Mus musculus: one gene and its partners. The protein of the gene in region 1 interacts with the protein of each later gene in a pairwise test. Links are inferred from orthologs where the notes say so. Each region holds a gene or a part of one and is shown in the gene's direction. Other genes may lie near its edges.

Region 1 (3,617 bases):
CAACTGCTGAGACCCACTGAGCCTCTCCTCGGTGCTGGCCCTTGTTGTTCCCAGCTCTCCCTACTTAAGGAAGCCATCAGACGCAGGCTGTCCCTCTGTCCCTCACAGAGCACTTTCTCTTCAGGTTGTGCCCCGTGCCTTTTCCTTTCCTTTTCTTTTTTCATTTGTGTGTTGGTGGTAGCAGAGGTCTAGCGCAGGGGCTGAAGCCTGCAAGGTCAGTCCTCCAGCACCAAGTGACAGCACCAGCCTCTCATCCGCTTCTTTTCTTCTTTTAAGATGGGATCTCACTCTATAGACTAGCTCGACCTGGAACTCAAAGTGACCCAGCCTGCTTGGTGCTGGGATTAAAAGTGTCTTCTGCTGCTGTCTGGCCATCTTTTTAAGAAGTTAGTTTTTTTGGTTTTGTTTTTGAGTAGAGTCTTGGGATCCTAGCTGACCTGGAACTCAGAGTGAAGACCAGGCTGGCTGCAGACTTGCAGCTATCCTTCTGCTTCAGCCTCCCAAACGCTGGGATTACAGTGTGAGCGTCTTCCTGGGTGCTGGGATTACACACCTGTGCCACCATGCTTGTCTGAAAAGGGGCCTCTGCCTTGTTGGCTTTTATGGAGAGAAACCATGTTTCCGGGAGCCAGCAGCACAGCTATGCTTGCCTGTCTTGAGCTGCTATCCTTAGGCAGTTTAGAGACCAGAAACCACAGGGCTACTTGGCAAGTGGGGACTTCTGAGGGGAAGGGGTGAGGGGGACTCCGATGTCTCTTCTCTCCACTGGGCCCTTGTCTTGTCCCTCTGCCTAACAGCTGCCTGAAGGGAGGGAAGCTGCTGCTTTGTCCTCGCCTTCTCTCTTGTCCTCAGCCCGAGGCTGCCGCCCATGCCCGCCACGTTCCCCCTGTGACTCTGGAGAGGGGAGGATGGACCCTCCTTGCAGCCAGTGCTCTCTCTCCTGTCCTGGTTCTCCTCCCTGCTCCCCACACACCCACACACAGGCAGAGAGAGCACCTAAGCTCACACCTAAGAGATGGGCCCAGGCCTGTTCTTTTTCTTCTCCAGGAAGGAAGGGATGGAGGGAGGACGGAAGGCAGGGAGGGAGGGAGGAAGGAAGGCAGGGAGGGAGGGAGGAAGGAAGGCAGGCAGGCAGGCTTTTCTAAGAGACTCTAATGTGCAACAACCCGATTGAGCTTCATTTCCTAGATTCAGGGAGATGTCAACCCCTAACAAAACAGCACTCCTAGGCACCTCCCTTCCTTCAGCACTGTAGTGACCTTCCCTGGTTGGAAGATGTAGTTGTTGATGTGTAAGGAGTGTCACCCTCAGGTCTAGGGTACAGTGTTCCCTCTCTGCATGTGCCTGACTTGATTGTTTGGGTGCAACAGAGTGGTCTAGTAGCAGGGGCACATGCCACGCTTCTCAGTGCTGGGGGCTATGTCCAGCCCTTGCCTAAGGTGCTCCTGGGATACTTGTAAGGTGTCCCTTTAATAGTAACCCGCTGAGCTGTCGCTGCTCCTCCATATCCCGAGCTGTCTGGCCCCACAGTAGCCCAGAAACCAGGCTTCTAAGCACACACTCTGCCAATAGTCCTCTTCTATCTATGAGTTGGTATCTTACCTTGTACAGATTAAACCTGCCATTTTACATTGAGAATATTGCCCTTGCCTCCTCCTCCCCGTCCAGCATGGGCGAAGAGTCAGCTCTATGGACTTGTTTAGCCAGGGAAGAAGATTTACTTTTGGGAGGGGGAGGTTAGGAGAGGTCAAGTTTGTTTCTTGCCCTGAGTGCATGGTGTATGCCAGATAACTGGGAGAGGCTGAGGGAGGGAGGCTTATGTACAGAGTGGGTGGGGGAGGCTACACTGCCTCTGTCCCTAGCTAAATCAGGGTGTTAATACTTATACTACCAAGGCTCCAGCTTTACCAGGAGGCTTCTCTTTCCCAGGCTGAGCCTGGGTGGGAGGCTTGGAATGGAGCCCCCCTTCTTTCTCCTTGGAAAAATAGAGTGCAGTGGCTTAGTAGTTTGGGGGCTTTGTGGGATAGAAGAAATGCTAAGGTCCCTGTCCCCTCAGGAGGAACTGAGCAGCACAAGCGTGGAACACATCATTGTCAACCCCAACGCTGCCTACGACAAGTTCAAGGACAAGAGAGTGGGAACAAAGGGGCTTGGTGAGCCTGGGCTGGAGGCTTGGGGAGGGGATGCGGGCGTGGTCCTAGAGAGCGAACAAGCTGCCTGAGCCCTGCGGATCCGATCCCTTGTGGAGCCTTCTGGGACCAGCCCTCACAGTCACCTTGGTCTGGGGCTGAACTGGGCCTAGACCAGCTCATTCAGTAGTCTTCTTCTCTTGACAGATTTCTCAGATCGCATTGGAAAGACCAAGAGGACAGGATATGAGTCTGGAGACTATGAAATGGTTTGTTGTGTGATGACCGTGGGGTGAGCCTAGAGCAGGCCTGCAGGGGAGTGAGCAGTGTTAAGTTTGGGGCTTTGTTTCTTTATTTTAAATTTCTCTCTCTCTTATTTTTTTGTCTTTGTTTTTTGCCTTGGGGATTATTATTATTTTGTTGTGTTTTTGTTGTTGTTTCAAGACAGGGTTTCTCTGTGTAGCCCTGGCTGTCCTGGAACTTGCTCTGTAGACCAAGCTGGCCTTAAACTCAGAGAATCATCTGCCTCTGCCTTCCAAGTGCTGGGATTAAAGTCTTGTACCACCATACCTGGCTTTGGTTTTTGTTTTGTTTCTTTAAGATTTATTTATTTTTATATTGTGCAAATGAGTATTTACCTGCATGAATGTACCATGTGTGTGCCTGATGTTTGGAGAGACCAGAAGAGAGCATTGGATTCTGTAGAAATAAGGTTACAGATGGTTGTAATTCACCTTATGGCTGCTGGGACTGAAGGTCTCTGAGGGCAGCCAGTGCCCTTAGCTGCTGAGCCTGAGGGATGTAGTCTTAGTCTGAGTTTGTCTGAGTGTCATCCACGCAAAATACATTTGAGAGTGTTGTGCTCCCTGCTACAGTTCTGGAGTCTCCAGATCTCTGTTGTCTCCCTCTCTTCTGTAAGAGGGTAGTGAGGATCCAGGTGGTAGAGGGATACCTTATGACTTAGGTCCAAGGTTTGGATTAACTCCGAGGGCTCCCTCTAATGGGACAGGTAACATCAACTTCCTCCTTGTCTCTAGCTTGGAGAGGGTCTGGGAGTGAAGGAGACACCGCAGCAGAAGTACCAACGACTACTGCATGAAGTCCAAGAGCTGACAACTGAGGTGGAGAAGATCAAGGTAACGTCCATACCCTGGCTTCTGAGTGCCTGGGCTGTGAGGTTTCCAGAGCTGGGGAATACAAATCTATATTTAACACTGTTAAATTCAGTGCTGTTCTAAAATCTATCCTGGGCACGTGGCAGTGGTGACTGGAAAGATTAAGAGCACTGGCTGCCCCTTTGGAGGATCCAGGTTCTATTATCATCACCCATTTAGGGCCTCCCAACCATCTGTAACTCTAGTCCCATGGGATCTGATACCCCCTTCAGGCCCCTATGGCCACTGCATGCATGTGATATACACACTGCATGCATGTGGCACACACATTGCATGCATGTGGTACACACACTTCATGCATGTGGTATACACA
Region 2 (4,099 bases), on another chromosome or scaffold:
TTGGCTTTGCTAGAAGGAAACTGAAGTTTATGTCAGTGTCCCAATCCTTAAGGAAGACAAGGTTTCTCCTTTTATATGCAAACTTAAATGCAGGACACACCCCTTCCCCTCGAATAGAGCCTTCAATAGATGAGACAGTGCTTGCTTCCAGCTGGGGGCCTACTGGCCAGGCCTGGCCTGGCACCAGGCACCCTGTGGGGCCTAAGTCCTTGTCTCTGTTTTTGCTCCAGATTCTTGACACGTGGCTCAGCAGCGGAAGCGGGAAGCAGGCCCAGAGGAGGCAGCAAGGCCCTCCCTAGGTCTCTCCTAGGCCATTTCTGGCAAGCCTGAAGGGGTAGACCCTCACCCTCCTCAGGTTATCTGGGGACCATCAGCCTCTGCGGGACAGGCTCCTGTGGCACATTCTCCTTCCGCACTCCGGAGTGGGCATACTGGGGCTGGAATAAATGCCTCTCTGTTTGGGAGACAAAGAACAGAGTGGCTCCTTTGGGTCAGCAGTCTCTCTTGGCTGCCTGAGCCTTCTCTCCCCCAGGCCTCTTCAGTGGCTCCTAGACGCCCCAGGAAGGAGCTTTTAAAGACAGACGGTGGAGCTGTTTTGCCGGAGCTTAAGGGAATGCGTTACCTTAACAAACCCCAAGCCTGCTGCTCAAGAAAATATTTATTGGTTGGGGGTGCAGGGGTGCAGCTGGCAAGGCAGGATGCCAGGCTGGGCACAGAGAGAGGGTGCACGCCTGTGTAACAGAGCAGGTGAACGTGTGGTATGCGTGTGCTCGATCTCGCGTGCAAGAGCTTGTGTGAGGAAATGTATTAAGATGTGAGTCTGTGTGTGTGTGTGTGCCAGTTGTGTGTGGATCCTAGCTGGCGTGCGTGAAACTTCTGCACCTGGGTTTGGGGTGGAGTACAAACCGTTTTGAGGGTGAGTGTTAACGTTAACTCCTGGGTAGGAGTAATGGGTGAGGGCGAGTGTGCAGGTACGCGGTGTGCAGTGGAGGGTGTGAGCCAGCTCGGAAGGGGCAGGCAAGGTGCGCCTGGGCTCGTGCACCAGTGGGTGTGCGCACAAGGGTGTACCAGCCTGTGTCGGGTGGATGGGTAGGATAAGAGGGGAGGCATGCGCCTGGGGTGGGCGCGTGCGCGAGAGTGCGCGTGCCCCCCTCCCGAGCCCGTTACCATGGGAACGCGCCGCGGCCTGAGTTAATCATTTCCTGTGGAAAGTGCGGGAGGGGCGGGCACGGGGCGGGCCAAGGAGGCAGCGGCGGCGGCGTGGAGCTGCCTCGCGCGGGCGGGCGGGCCGGAGCCGGCCGGAGCGGGCCGAGCCCGGGGCGCTGCGGTGGCGGCGCTGGGATCCTGTCTCCGCTAGGCCGGTGAGTCGGGTCCCGGCAGGCTGGGGGTGGAATGGGACGGGCTCCTCCCGGCGCTCCTGCTGGGCGCCGCGCCCGCCCTGCCTGAGGACCCCCTCTTTCCCCGACCCGGTGGGTGTTGCGATCAGGCCCCAAGAGACCCGGCTGAGCGCGGGGCTCCCACTGTATTGGTCCAACCGGAGGATCTTGCAGAGACCTGGGCGTGAGGGTGGCACAGCCTCTGGGGTAGCGCCACCAAGACCGACTCCTTGGAGGGGGAATGTGCAGTGCCTACCTGGGAGCTGCGGGTCAACCAGTGAACCCCCTCCCCCTGCAAGGGTCGCTTCCAGGAAGGCTACTGTTTGGGCCCTCCCTCTGTGTCCCCCGAGTAGTTCTCCCCCATCCCCCGGGCAAGGCCCGAGGTGGGGTGCGGCAGCCCCTAGGTTAGGAGGGAGGGCCTCAGAAATACCCTCTCAAGCTGAGAGGGATCAAGTCATTGACAGCTGCGGCTGAGGAATCCCTGCAGGGAGGGGAGCCCAGAAGCTGTCTGTCCCCTCAGCCTTTCCACTGCAAGTAACAGGAGAACTCTGGCTGACACAGTGAAAGGCCGGGTCCTGAGACATTTTAAAGAGGAAGCTGGATTTAAATTCTTAAGTAGTATTTGTCACCCTTCCAAAACATACACACACACTTTAATGCATTTCTCAAGCTTGGGCCTTGGGACTACCCCTAGCTTCACCTTCCTTAGTGTCCTTCTGCCCCAGACTGGGTAAATGCCCTTCCTAGTCTGGTAGGACTTATTCCCCATGCCCTTCATAAAGGGGCAGTCTCCTTGGCTAGAGAGAGTCATTTGCTAGGAATGCAGTCCCAGAATGGTTTTGTGTATTGGAGTGGTTGGACTTCAGGGTTTGGGGATGGTAAGTTCTGCTGTCTGTATGGGTACCAGAGAGCAGAAAATTTGAAATCTGGATGCACCAGAACATGTGTGTGCCAGGGATACCCTAACCCAGTCTAGCCATGCCCCCTCCCCCAAATGCTCACCCAGGAGAACTAAGCTATCCCCTGCAGTGGTGTATAGGTGACTATGAGGTCTACACACACACACACACACACACACACACACACACACACAGAGAGAGAGAGAGAGAGAGAGAGAGAGAGAGAGAGTGAGTCTTTGCCCTGTCTCTGGTTTAAGACAGGAGGAAGGCAGATCTACCATCCTTAGCTAAACCCAGAGAAGCACATGCCCCTCCCCCAAACAGCTTCCGCATTCACCCACCAATGGGACAGTTTACCAAGAGATAGCAGCATCTTGGGCCCTTTGCCTGTGTCCATACTTCATATGTGTATTTTCTGATGTCAGCCCTGAGAAGTACAGTTTTCACCACTTGATACATGAAGATGATAAGGCAAAGAGCAGGTAATTAATTCTTCTAGGTGGCGGAGCCAAGGTCTGACCTAGCCCATAGCTCTACTGCATGATTTCCAGGTCACTAGAGGTCCCAGGACCCCAGACCTAACACCTGTGTAAGGAGATGATGCACTTGTCTCTTGGCCTAGAACCCTGGGCTTGTTTGAGATTCCTTGATACTCCTGACCTCACACCCGGGTTTCCAGCTGCTAAATTCAGCTGCCTTTTCCTCTTGGGGACCTAGCACACACCCTTCCTCTTTCTCCAGGCTGCCGCTCCAACTTCCCTTCCTGATAGCACAGAAATATGCTCCCCCACCTCCTTGACTGAGCTGATCTCTCCTAGAATCCTCTGCCCGTCATGGTCTCAGCTTGGTACGAGCACCCACAGAGGATGGTCCTCCCAGCTTCACCCCCTGGCCTGCAGGGTCGGCTTCATGCACTGCATCAGGCCACCTGGGTAGGGCATTTGTATCTGCTCTCTGCTCCTCTGGCTTCTCCCACTTTACACCCATCTCAAGGCATCCATGGGATGGGGGATGGGGTTGATCAGCATCTTTCTGACCCCTTCCCCCCACATTCCTGTCCTCTCCCAGTGAGTACCCCACACTTGACTTGTCTTCAGTCAGGGGAGGAAGAGACATGACCCACTGTCTTCAGTACTTGCCCCTAAAAGCATCAGATCAAAAGTCTTCAGTCTCTGACTCCAGATTCTTGCTATTTGTTTCCTGTCTCTAGATGCATTGTTCCTGTACCTCTGTCTACCCCTACATGTCACCTCTCCCCTGTTCTATATAGCATATTCTCTCAGCTCCATCTCCTCATCATCCTGGCTGAACTTCCCTCTAAGAAGGAAACAGCTGCCTCCTAGGCCCTTTCCAGTCCCTTGAGTCGCTTTGAAACGGCTTTGCAACCTAGGCTGGTCTGGAACTTGCAACCTTTCTTTTTGTTTTTTCGAGGCAGGGTTTTTCTGTATAGCCATGGCTGTCCTGGAACTCACTCTGTAGATCAGGCTGGTCTTGAACTCTGCCTGCCCCTGCCTCCCGAGCGCTGGGATTAAAGGTGTGTGCCACCACGCCTGGCTAGAACTTGCAACCTTTTGAGTGCTAGGGAAGGTAGGTGTGAGCCCCTGTACCTGGCTGGCTCTCCCTGCTTTTGTTAAAGAGGTCCCTAGGGCTTTCTTTTAGTTGGCTATGGCTACCTGACTGTCCTGCCCTTCCTACTTGCTCTCCAGCCGCTTCTGAGGACTTCGTGTATGCGCTGACAGCTCCTGCCACTCTCAGACCTCTGGCCTTCAGGGACTGCTCCCCCCAACCCCGACCCTCCAACCCCATCCACGCCTGTCCTTACTT
Region 3 (4,398 bases), on another chromosome or scaffold:
CTCCAATAAGTGAACTAGAAAACCAACCTATAAATTATCCATTAAGTTAAGATTAAGAGAATTTGAAAATATTTTGTCCACAAGAATAAAAACTTGCCGGGTATGGTGGCGCACGCCTTTAATCCCAGCACTCGGGAGGCAGAGGCAGACGGATTTCTAAGTTCGAGGCCAGCCTGGTCTACAAAGTGAGTTCCAAGACAGTCAGGACTACACAGAGAAACCCTGTCTCGAAAAACCACCCCTCCCCCCGCAAAAAAAATCTTAAGGATAACTCACATGTACCTCTGCAAAATTTACTTCTGTAACTGTAAGCTACCCAGTGACCTCAATATTAGCACTGTTAAGAATGCAAGCATATGGGCTGCAATTTCACCACTCTCCGTGACTAGTAGGTTCAGGCAATGCTTTTGTATTTACTGAATAAGCTCATAAAACAAAGAGAGTTTTGAGCTATCCAGTAAAAGTTTGCATTAAAAATTGTTTTTACTTTGTAACTCCTGCTTGCAGTTACGAGGGTTTGCCTTCTACCTACAAGTTGCTATTATCTCAAAGGTGAAATTTGAGCACATGGCTAAAATGTACTACAGTTACAGCTTCATGATTCAGCTTCAGTAATTCAGAGTGAGCTCATAGACAGTAAAGGTGGTGTCATACTCTTCTGCCTGTGATGGGACGCTCAGGGAACATCGTGAGCACCTCGAATTTCCATGATGGCACCTCTGAATACCACAGAATTTCTCTCTTAGCTCTTACTTGATCAGAAGGAGCCTTCTTCAGGAAGGATTCTAAGAACGGTGAATTTGGCTCGTTAAACATGCGATCACCAGCTCCCCACCTTACATGGAGTAGGCAGAAATTTCACCAACTTTTTGTGGAAAAGATTCCAACTTGGTACTGTGCCACCACTACACACAAATGCGATTTTTTTTTTTTTTTTCTTCTCCCTGGAGTTTCAAATTCTCACAACCAACCAAAACCAAATCAAACCAGCCATCAGGGCACCAAAAGACTACTACTGGGAATAAGCAGGTTTACCTGAAACTTGCATATAAACACTGAAGCAAGCTTTGCCCGGCATGTCTGGACACTTAAAAATATGCTTACTAACAACAGCTAGACTGGAGTGCATTAATCCCTGGAAGTAAAATTTAAAAAGCAGCCCCTTAACACAAAGGGCACGAAACGACAATCAAAAGATGTCCACAACCAGAAAAACAATTGGCAGGCTGTTTCAGTCAGAGCTGAGGACACTTGAACCACTGCAAAGCCCTCCGCACCAGAAGGCTCCACAAACTACCTAGAGCTGGCTCAGGACCCCACCAACCGGGTTTCAGCACCACCTTCGTCCCGTGGGCTCCCTCCCGCGTAGCTCCGCCCCTTTCCGCTCAACTCTGCCTTGCTTTGGTGGAGCGAGGGTCTGGGTGTCAACGTCTGCTAATTTGCATAACCCAATGGCCTGACTGCATGCAAATGAAGCTGGACCTGGTTGGCTGAGGGCTAGCCCCATATCTCCGGAATCGGGCCCTTTGTCCTCCAGTGGCCCCGAGGCAGCAGTGCAGAGTTCCCCAGCGAGGCTAGGCGAGCAGCCGGCCGGCCGGAGCGGAGAAGGGAGGGTGGGAGCGAGCGCAGAGCCGGCGCCGCGCACTGTGGGGGCCAGGAGCAGCCCGCGCGCCGAGGGAGGGACTCGCACTTGCAATATGACTTTGGAGGAATTCTCGGCTGCAGAGCAGAAGACCGAAAGGTAAGTGTGCCTGCCGACTCGGTGGCCGCCGCCCCTCCCGCCTCGCGTCCGGGGACCCGGCTGACCCGCTCTCACCCTGCCGCCCGCAGGATGGACACGGTGGGCGATGCCCTGGAGGAAGTGCTCAGCAAGGCTCGGAGTCAGCGCACCATTACGGTCGGCGTGTACGAGGCTGCCAAGCTGCTCAACGTGTAAGTGGCCCGCGTTCCCCGCTCGCCCACCCACCCGCCTCTACCCCGCGCCCCCCTGAGCGTATGCAACTCACCGCTGCCCCGCTGCCCGCAGAGACCCCGATAACGTGGTACTGTGCCTGCTGGCTGCTGACGAAGACGACGACCGGGATGTGGCTCTGCAGATCCATTTCACCCTCATCCGTGCGTTCTGCTGCGAGAACGACATCAACATCCTGCGGGTCAGCAACCCGGGTCGGCTAGCTGAGCTGCTGCTACTGGAGAACGACGCGGGCCCGGCGGAGAGCGGGGGCGCCGCGCAGACCCCGGACCTGCACTGTGTGCTGGTGACGGTAAGAGACCCGGGGCTGCAGCCCAGAATCTGCTGGGGTGGACCTTGTCCGAGCTGAACGCTGATCTCGCGGGGGTTGTGATAGGGTACGGAGCGTGTCTAAGCTCGTGGGTGGCCTCCAGCGGCGGAAGATATCCCTGTGAGTCAGCAAGCTGCCCAGCTGCTACCTCTGCTTACCTCTGCACAACCTCGCGTGGCTAATTCTTTGAGCAGAACAGATTAGATAAAGCCAAATAAATTCCCGGTTTACCCTTCGTTAAGAAGTTAGCTTCATTCTTCATTTGCTGTCAAAGCTAAAGGTAGAAGTGGTGTAGGAGACAGACCTTATTAATTCCCTGGATATAGATAGATACTCTGAAGTGTACCGAGTGGAATTCTTTTCTTTGCTGCTCTTGAGTTTGTTTAAACGAGCTCCCTCCTCCCCACCGCTTAAAAATGTGTGGTGGGTTGATAGTGTTTTCAGAAAGAACCGTGCTGTCTAGGTCTTCTGGTTTTTTGTTTTTGTACTCTTTCTCTTCTGACTTGTGTAGGGAAGTGACTGCCTGGTTACTTGTTGCTGCCAGTAAAATGTGCTATTCATCGTCAGGGAAGATAAGAGTTCAGCAGCTGCCTGCCCTGCAGCCCTCACCGTGCACACAGCCTGAGAATGCTTTTCAGGAGTCTTTTACTTATGACCCACCAGGGTACATGCTTGGAAGGGAGGTCTTAAGAATGGTAACCTCATGCAGAATGGGGTAGTTAATATGCAAAACTCTGTGTAGTTCCGTGCACGTTACAGGTGTTTAGACTATGCTAGATGCTGTTTTTAACAGAATGTTCGGGGTTTGGCCCTTTCAAAAGTAGCACAATTAGTAGCAGAAGCTGATTATTTTCCGGGGAAGTAATTTTTTCAAAATCTGTTCACAGAACCCACATTCATCACAATGGAAGGATCCTGCCTTAAGTCAACTTATTTGTTTTTGCCGGGAAAGTCGCTACATGGATCAGTGGGTGCCCGTGATTAATCTCCCGGAACGGTGATGGCATCCGAATGGAAATAACTGAACCAAATTGCACTGAAGTTTTGAAATACCTTTGTAGTTACTCAAGCAGTCACTCCCCACGCTGATGCAAGGATTACAGAAACTGATGTCAAGGGGCCGAGTTCAACTGCACGAGGGCTCAGAGATGACTTTGCAGAGGGAGAGAGAGGTGAGCCTGAAGAAGGAAGCTGCGAGAAAAGAGAAATCCAAGGCAAAAGGGACAAAAACTACAAAGCACTGCAAGAAAGAAAACTGCTAATTTAGGATGGCCAGGTTACTTTCAAATAAGCCAAATATTGCTTTGTTGAAACTTTAAATGTATAGCAATAGTTTGGGTATTTTTTTTCTTTTTTTTTTTTGGTCTTTATGCCCTCAAATAAAAGGAAAGTAAAAGAGGATTAATCATATTTTCAAGCCACAGTTTAAATGTATTTTGATGAGATGTTAAATTCTCAGAAGTTTTATTATAAATCTTACTAAGTTATTTTATGATGTGAAAGGTTATTTATGATAAAGTTTTTGAAGCACATTATCTAAAATAAACTGGTATGGAATAATTGTGTCATTTCTCAACGTGTGGTTTGTGTTTTACAATATTGATTATTGGACATTCTATTGAAGCTTTGCTGTATTTTACACTAGGCAGGAAGATGGTGGGGGGGGGCGGTTGTAGAGGGTCGGGGTAAGGAAAAAGGGAATATGGCAAGATTCACCTTGCAAAGTCTAAATTACAGTGAATGACTTAAATGCTATAATTAATTGCATGCAAAACGTGGAAGCAGAGAGGAGGGTTACCAAAGCTGCTTGAAGATGAGTGAAGCTTTTACTGAGGAAAAAACATTTCATTGGAGGCATCAAAGATCACAGCCTGCAGAGAGACCTACGAGGGTGTCTCTGCCTGCCTCTGGTGTAGGCAGATAAGTGAGAGAGGGTTGGAAAGGTGGGGGTTCAGCTCAGATGCTGACAGGAGTTCTTGCATCACCATTATGTATTTGAGCTTCTTTCTGTGAACTTGCCACAGTCTGCAGAAGGAAGTGACCTGGTCAGTGTTGTAGGTAGATAACTTGGGGAGGTATGGGGTAGTAAATAGGGTGAGTGGCTGGCTATACAGTA

Evidence for each region.
Region 2: the proteins of Dctn2 (region 1) and Kifc3 interact in binary tests that used the Homo sapiens proteins (3 or more experiments, as listed by UniProt). The two-hybrid records come from large-scale screens. The link is inferred for Mus musculus from reciprocal best matches to the Homo sapiens genes DCTN2 and KIFC3.
Region 3: the proteins of Dctn2 (region 1) and Gadd45a interact in binary tests that used the Homo sapiens proteins (3 or more experiments, as listed by UniProt). The link is inferred for Mus musculus from reciprocal best matches to the Homo sapiens genes DCTN2 and GADD45A.

What each region holds. Positions count from the first base shown.
Region 1 is NC_000076.6:127,272,658-127,276,274, forward strand, and holds part of Dctn2 (dynactin subunit 2), read left to right. Parts: intron 1-2,056; coding exon 2,057-2,153; intron 2,154-2,336; coding exon 2,337-2,398; intron 2,399-3,166; coding exon 3,167-3,265; intron 3,266-3,617. UniProt on the Homo sapiens protein: Part of the dynactin complex that activates the molecular motor dynein for ultra-processive transport along microtubules. In the dynactin soulder domain, binds the ACTR1A filament and acts as a molecular ruler to determine the length.
Region 2 is NC_000074.6:95,139,694-95,143,792, reverse strand, and holds the start of Kifc3 (kinesin-like protein KIFC3), read left to right. Parts: upstream 1-1,235; 5' UTR 1,236-1,361; intron 1,362-2,473; exon of another isoform or gene 2,474-3,207; intron 3,208-4,099. UniProt on the Homo sapiens protein: Minus-end microtubule-dependent motor protein. Involved in apically targeted transport. Required for zonula adherens maintenance.
Region 3 is NC_000072.6:67,034,544-67,038,941, reverse strand, and holds Gadd45a (growth arrest and DNA damage-inducible protein GADD45 alpha), read left to right. Parts: upstream 1-1,534; 5' UTR 1,535-1,697; coding exon 1,698-1,741; intron 1,742-1,830; coding exon 1,831-1,932; intron 1,933-2,006; exon of another isoform or gene 2,007-2,026; coding exon 2,027-2,264; exon of another isoform or gene 2,265-2,343; intron 2,344-3,169; coding exon 3,170-3,283; 3' UTR 3,284-3,846; downstream 3,847-4,398. UniProt on the Homo sapiens protein: In T-cells, functions as a regulator of p38 MAPKs by inhibiting p88 phosphorylation and activity.